Canis lupus familiaris: one gene and its partner. Each later gene encodes a partner of the first gene's protein in a complex. Links are inferred from orthologs where the notes say so. Each region holds a gene or a part of one and is shown in the gene's direction. Other genes may lie near its edges.

Region 1 (3,822 bases):
CCTTTTTTAAAAAACAAAATAAAACTCATACTAATGGCAGCAACATATGTAAGATACTTGGCACAAAGTTTGAATATGAAATAAGTGGGAAGGGTAATGGATAATAATTTATGGCTTACCTAAAATATTAAAGATTTCATAGCTGCCTAACAAATGACCATATCCTAAGTATTGACTTAAAACTTTTCTACATCTTCCTTTAGCCCCATTATATATATATATTTTAAAGATTTTAAAGATTTTATTTATTTATTCTTGAGAGAGACAGAGAAGGAGAGACACAGGCAGAGGGAGAAGCAGGCTCCCCGCAGGGAGCCTGATGCTGGACTTGATCCCAGGACACCAGGATCATGCCGAGCTGAAGGCAGACAGATGCCCAACTGCTGAGCCCCCCAGGCGTCCCTGAAATCCTGATTTTTAAAGATTTTATTTATGTGAGAGAGAAAGAGGGCACAAGCAGGGAAGTGTCAGAGGGAGAAGGAGAAGCAGGCTCCCGCTGAGGAGGGGGACCCATGTGGGGCTCAGTCCCAGGACCCCGGGATCATGACCTGAGCTGAAGGCAGACGCTTAACCGACTGAACCACTGAGGCGCTCCTAAAGATTTTTAGTAATCTCTGCACCCAGCATGGGGCTTATATTCACAACCCCAAGATCAAGAATCGCATGCTCTCCCGACTGAGCCAACCAGATGCCCCCATCTGTATTTTAAGTAAACGATCATAGATACTAAGCTTCCTAAAAGGGAATATTTTATCCTAATTTGAATTCTTAAGTCTTGTTAAGGTTGTGATGACTACCTGGTTTATAAAGTAGTAGGGTAAGTGAGAAAAATGGTCAGGAAATCTCATTTGGTGACCAGGGTTTCCACAATGTTTTTTAAGATTTTTGTGTTTGAGTATTAAAGGATGCAGTCTAGGGGCACCTGGCTGGCTCAGTCGGTAGTGTGTGAGCCTCTTGATCTCAGGCTTGTAAGTTTGAAACCTATGTTGGGTGTAGAGATTACTTAAAAGTAAAACCTTTATTTTTAAAGATTTTATGTATTTGACAGCACAAGTAGGCAGAGCAGCAGGCAAAGGGAGAGAAGCAGACTGCAGTTGAGCAGAGAGCCAGATTCAAGGCTTAATCCCAGGACTCGGACGTGTGAGCCAAAGGCAGGTGCTTCACATACTTTGCCACCAAGTGCCCCTAAATTTGGGTTATTTCAGTTGTCATTTAGAGTGACTGAAGGGAGATGGTATGGACATTTATTTATTTTTTTAAAGATTTATTTATTTATTTATTTATTTATTTATTTATTTATTTATTTATTTATTTATTTATGATAGAGAGAGAGAGAGAGAGAGGCAGAGACACAGGAGGAAGGAGAAGCAGGCTCCATGCCAGGAGCCTGACGTGGGACTCGATCCCGGGACTCCAGGATCGCGCCCTGGGCCAAAGGCAGGCGCCAAACCGCTGAGCCACCCAGGGATCCCCATGGACATTTAAATCTACCATGCTGGGATCCCTGGGTGGTGCAGTGGTTTGGCGCCTGCCTTTGGCCCAGGGCGCGATCCTGGAGACCCGGGATCGAATCCCACGTCGGGCTTCTGGTGCATGGAGCCTGCTTCTCCCTCTGCCTGTGTCTCTGCCCCTCTCTCTCTCTCTCTCTCTCTGTGACTATCATAAATAAATAAAAATTAAAAAAAAAATAAAAAAAAATAAATCTACCATGCTGCTAATTTCCTTTGAAACACAGTAGGCACAGGAATTAGGAAAATACCTCATACTCAATAGAGAAAAGGTAAGTGGTTGACAGAAAATCCAGGATTATCTCGGCAAAGCAGTGAATGCTTGTATGATTGAGGAAAGGTGATCTAGTGCTAAATTTGGCCAGATATTCTCTACATGAAATGAAAGTACGAGCTGGAGAACTGACTCCTAAGGAGCATATAGACCTATGGTGGTTGCCCTTTGTCATTTTATTCACTTCTCTTCACTTCTAGATCTACGAAATCCAGAGGCAGCGCTGTCACCCAACTTTCGCAGTGATAGTCCAGTGCCTACTGTGCCCACGTCTGGGGGCCCTAAGCCCAGCACAGCTTCCGCAGTTCCTGAACTAGCTACAGACCCCGAGTTAGAGAAGAAATTGCTACACCACCTCTCTGATCTGGCCTTAACATTGCCCACTGATGCTGTGTCCATCCGTCTTGCCATCTCCACGGTAATAACCTGAAAAGACAGGGTTGGGAGATACCACTCCTTTGAGTTCATGGTCAGTGTCTTATTGCCTTCCCCTCCCCTCCTTCCCTAGCCAGATGCCCCTGCCACTCAAGATGGTGTGGAAAGCCTCCTACAGAAGTTTGCAGCTCAGGAGTTGATTGAGGTAAAACGAGGTCTCTTACAAGATGATGCGCATCCCACTCTTGTGACCTATGCTGATCATTCCAAGCTTTCTGCCATGATGGGCGCGGTGGCAGAAAAGAAGGGCCCTGGGGAGGTAGCAGGGACTATCACAGGGCAGAAGCGGCGTGCAGAGCAGGACTCAACCACAGTAGCTGCCTTTGCGAGCTCTTTGGCCTCTGGTCTGGCCTCTTCAGCATCAGAAGCAGCCAAGGAGCCAACCAAGAAATCAAGGAAACATGCTGCCTCAGATGTTGATCTGGAGATAGAGAGCCTTCTGAACCAACAGTCTACTAAGGAACAACAGAGTAAGAAGGTAGGGGTAGATGGAAATGCTTGTATACATATGCTTTGTTTTTGTTTTTTTGTTTTGTGTGTGTGTTTGTTAAGATCTCTAAGTAATCTCTACACCCATTGTGGGGCTCAGACTTTCACAGCCCCAAGTGCAAGAGTTGCATGCTCTACCAACTGAGCCAACCAGGCAATCCTTACATATATACTTTTTTTTTTTTTTTTTTATGATAGTCACAGAGAGAGAGAGAGAGGCAGAGACATAGGCAGAGGGAGGAGGCGGCTCCATGCACCGGGAGCCCAATGTGGGATTCGATCCCGGGTCTCCAGGATCACGCCCTGGGCCAAAAGGCAGGCACTAAACCACTGCGCCACCCAGGGATCCCACATATATACTTTTAATTACAGCTTTGAGAGGGATTTACCCCTAAGGACAAGGAGGAGTTCTTGCTGTAGGGTTGAGGGTTTAGAATAGTGGTTCTCAACTGGGGATAACATATATATATATATATATATTTTTTTTTTTTTTTAAGATTTAATTATTTGTTCATGAGAGACAGAGAGACATAGAGGAAGAAGCAGGCTCCTCATGGGTAGCCTGATGCGGGACTCAATCCTGGTTAGCCTGGGATCGTGACCTGAGCCAAAGGCAGTTGCTCAACCACTGGGCCACCCAGGTATCCCTCCACTGGGGATAATTTTGCTCCCTTTCCTACCCCCAGAGAACGTTTGTCAATGTCTGGAGATACTGCGGTTGTCATAACACAGGAGTGCTACAGGCATTTAGTGGGTAGAAGCAAGTGATGCTGCCAAGCGTCCTACAATCATAGCATAATCCCTATACAACAAAGAATTACTTCACCCCAAATGTCAATAATGCCAGTGTTGAGAAACTGATTTAGAGAATGTTTATCATTGGAAGAATCATTAGGTCAACAGAAGGGGGACACAAATATAGAAATAGGAGATGAATGGAGATGGATACTGGAAGGGAGTTACATGGACCATTAATTATGGAAACTGATGATTAAACAAGGTGAATTGGCAGTTCACTGTGGTTCTGAATATAAATATTGGACCTATGTGAATTCTTATCCATTTGCTACTTTTAGCTGTGTAAATATGAAGAAGTTAATTTAACTTCTCTTGAGC
Region 2 (3,822 bases), on another chromosome or scaffold:
TTTAATTTTGTTGTAAGCCATTGTCCTTGCTTTCTATCCGGAAATGGTATCACATCAGGAAATGGTATCACATGCTGTATATTGACTGATTATAAAACTTGCAAAAGATTCAGGTTTTCATGGAATTCATAAACATGAATTTGATAACTGAAGCACAACTAAAACGGGCAACTGGGATGTCTGGGTTGCTCAGCGGTTGAGCATCTGCCTTTGGCTCAGGGCGTGATCCCGGAGTCCTGGGATCGAGTCCTGCATTGGGCTCCCTACCAGGGAGTTTGCCTGTGCTTCTGCCTCTGCCTCTTTCTCTGTCTCTCATGAGTAAATAAATAAAATTAAAAAAAAAAAAAATCATTGGCAAGTGAGGAAGTGCCAGTTGATTGAAGACATTATGATCAGGTAGGCATCTTAACGGAAAAATTTTAATGTGGAGGGTTTAAGAGAGGCCCTTGAGGAAATTGACGAAACCCTTGAATATTACGCAAAAAATGACTGATTTTATGATCATGCTGAAAAGTCAAACATATAATGAAGTCTATCTTCTAATAGCATTTTGCCAGGAAAAACTACTCCAAGAAACTCCAATTAATACTTGATTCATTCTTTAGGTTGTTCTAAGAATCAGCAGTTAGTTATAACAGAAATCTAAATTTTGTAAGATATTTCTTGGGTTCCTTTAATTCAGGATAAAATTCTAAACACATCTTTTAAAAAAATACTATCATGTAAGAGTGTTACTCCTTTTTAAAGTGGATTCACCTTAAATGACAAATTACAGAGGTGCCTGGCTGGCTTTGTTGGTAGAGCGCTTGACTCAATCTTGGGGTTGTAAGTTCAAGCCCCACATTGGATGTAGAGATCACTTAAGAAAATCTTTAAAAAGTAAAAAGTAAAAATAAATGGTCAGTTATATTTTTAGTTCTCATTTTCTGTGTAAAATCCAAGAACTTTTGTGGTTACGGGATTTATATTTTTAGTTGGCATGTTCAAGAAGAAATTGCTGTATTTTCTGATTTTTAATTAAAAAAAAAAAAAGGCAAGCCCAGAATGATGTCACTGTTAAATGCTGTACTTTGTTTATGGGCTTGCAATTTGTGAGTAGGTGGCAAGGTGTTAAGGGGCAGTAGACTCCCTAGAAGTTGTGGTGGACTAAGCAAGCAATTGTGACAGGTGTTCAGGGTGGTGGGAAAAGGATTTGCAGTAATGAAGGGTTGGGATTTGGTCATTCCACTAGATAAAACCATTGAGTCTTTCTAGTATCTGAAGGACAACATTGAACTGTTAAATATCTGTCTACATTAACTTGCTTTTCTACTTTATTGGAAAATCAGGAATACCTTTTGAGAAAGAAAAAAAAATGATTCATGTCTTTTGGCTTGTAGATACTTTTACATAAATAACTGTAATGGAAGCAGATGAAATACATTATTCAACTTGTTAATACATGTAGTGAAGTTTGAAGGTTGACCAAGTTGGGTTTATCCTAACTGGGGATTTTAGCTAGCCATGTAATTCCTTTCCATGAGTTTTTTCTTTGAGGATTAGCTTTTGTAAAAGTAATAGCAGAAAGCAGACTGAAAGAGATTGGAATTAATTATTAATGACCTATTTTGAATTTTGTTCTAAATATTGTCCAGAAAGAGGGGCATCTGGTTGGCTGGGTCAGAAGAGTATGTGACTCTTGATCTTGAGGTCATGAGTTCAAGCCGCATGTAGGATATAGAGATTACTTAGATAAATAAAACTTAAAATAAGTATTGTTCAGAAAGTATTGTTCAAAGCAAATTGATGTGAATTTAACACGTGTCTAAAATCCTAGTACCCTTGGAGGTCATTAGTACTAGGTTACTACTTCCTAATTTGGCTTTATTGAATGCAATGTGGACAGTGTGCCTATCAATCTTGATAGTACTATCTCCTGCATGGCAAGTTCAATAATTTATCACATTTAAAACATTACTATTTTAAAAAATTATTTTATTTGCATTTCCTACTTTAGGGCATTTCCCTTTGTGTCTTTAGTAGTAAAGGTGAATATTTACTGTATTGTAATATTTTGTCAGACTTGAAACAAGGGAGGCTATTAACCTTCGATGGAGTCAGTTCTATGAAATAATGCTCCTATTACTCATGAGAAATGAGTTCATTTATTTCATAGCTAGTAACAAGCAGAGACTTAGAAAGTGTCTCTTGTTTACATTTAGTTTAATTGCAGAAATTTTGCATACCCTTAAACTCTAATTTTCCGTTATGATGCTGTGCTGCTTACAATAGCACACTCACATTATATATCTAGAAAGGTTATAGCACAAATACATGATTGCATGTTTCTGCTATTAAATGGTGTGATAAGTTTTGCTATCCTTGAATACTTTTTAGAAAAACTATTTTACACTTAAGGAAATAATCACTTTCCTTAAAACTAACTTCATTTTCAAATGCATTATTTATTTAATTTTGCCATTGTCAGTGTTAGTTTTGTGTTTTGTTTTATTGATTGTCCTAATGTAGATTCACTTCGTTAACTTTAACAAGTGTTTTGTGTGCTTGGTGGAGATAGGGATGATTTTCTTTCTTTTCCTCCTTCTACTTCCTTTACTTTTTTTTTTTTTTTAATTTTAAAAAATCTCTTATAGTTAAAGACAGAAGTTCTTATCTCATAGTTAAAGACAGAAGTGGCTTATGAAGGGTCTTATGTTTCCTGCAAACTCTTCTGGAATCACATAAATTTTTATTGTCTACTTTTAGGGAGAGGTTCTATAACTTTTGTCAACTTTTTAAAGGGTTCTTTGTCTCAAAAAGCATTGCTTTAAGGTTTTATCTAATGTAGAGAAAATTAATGTTTAAACTTATATAGCATAATATTTAAAATCAGAACCTACATATTTAGCCCTTGATAATGTTGGGTATGTTACTTTAATACCTGTGGCAGAATAATCTTCAAAAGAGGAAAACTAAAAGAAATGACAACTTTTTTCTTCTGACATAGACAATGAGTTACAAGGCACTAATAGTTCTGGATCATTGGGTGGTCTTGATGTTCGAAGACGAATTCCTATAAAGCTCATCTCCAAACAAGGGAACAAAACCAAAACTGCGCCTCGAACTCCAAGGACTATAAACAGGATGCCTGCAAAGGCTCCACCTGGTGATGAAGGTAATTTGTTTAAACTGACAAGTCCAAAAGTCTTTCTTTTGTATCTAATTCCAGCAAATAATCCATGTGGTCTTATTTATTAATTTACTAATAATGACCTTTTTTTATCTTAATTGTCTTCACTTTTTTTCAGTCTTTCTGTTTGACTTCTCATTTTGGCATGTACTTTCCTGTATAGTATTTTTGTTTTTTTCTTTTGTTATTGAAAGTAACACTGCCTGTTGTTTGAAAATAAAAAAACCTAAATAATACTGCAGAAAGCATAATATGAAAAGTAAAATTTGTTCCTCTACTTCGACAGTACTCCACCAAAATGATTTCTGTTACAACTTTTTTATAGTATAGTAACTTTTTAATGTATTACTGCCCTTTTTTCATGTAAGATGCATTTGAAATTTTTCCACGTATCAGTATATACAGATGTACTCATTTAAGAAAATAGGTTTGGATATTTCTTTTTTATGGATATGCCGTAATTTAATAGTTTTTATAACTTCTTTGCTGTTAAAAACAGTGTTGCAGTAAATATTGTACGTATAGCTTAGCATGTATACTTGAGGTAGAACTGCATGAATTTGGGTATTTTATAAGTTGATGGATACGGTGCATTTTAGAATTTAATGGATATTGTCAAATGGCTCTATAAAAAGTATATCAGTTTATATTCC

What was found.
Region 2: METTL3 (region 1) and CBLL1 share a complex: the UniProt entries of both Homo sapiens proteins name them as parts of the WMM complex. The link is inferred for Canis lupus familiaris from reciprocal best matches to the Homo sapiens genes METTL3 and CBLL1.

What each region holds. Positions count from the first base shown.
Region 1 is NC_049236.1:18,658,481-18,662,302, reverse strand, and holds part of METTL3 (N6-adenosine-methyltransferase catalytic subunit), read left to right. Parts: intron 1-1,982; coding exon 1,983-2,200; intron 2,201-2,290; coding exon 2,291-2,695; intron 2,696-3,822. UniProt on the Homo sapiens protein: The METTL3-METTL14 heterodimer forms a N6-methyltransferase complex that methylates adenosine residues at the N(6) position of some RNAs and regulates various processes such as the circadian clock, differentiation of embryonic and hematopoietic stem cells, cortical neurogenesis, response to DNA damage, differentiation of T-cells and primary miRNA processing.
Region 2 is NC_049239.1:13,099,309-13,103,130, reverse strand, and holds part of CBLL1 (E3 ubiquitin-protein ligase Hakai), read left to right. Parts: intron 1-2,986; coding exon 2,987-3,154; intron 3,155-3,822. UniProt on the Homo sapiens protein: E3 ubiquitin-protein ligase that mediates ubiquitination of several tyrosine-phosphorylated Src substrates, including CDH1, CTTN and DOK1. Targets CDH1 for endocytosis and degradation.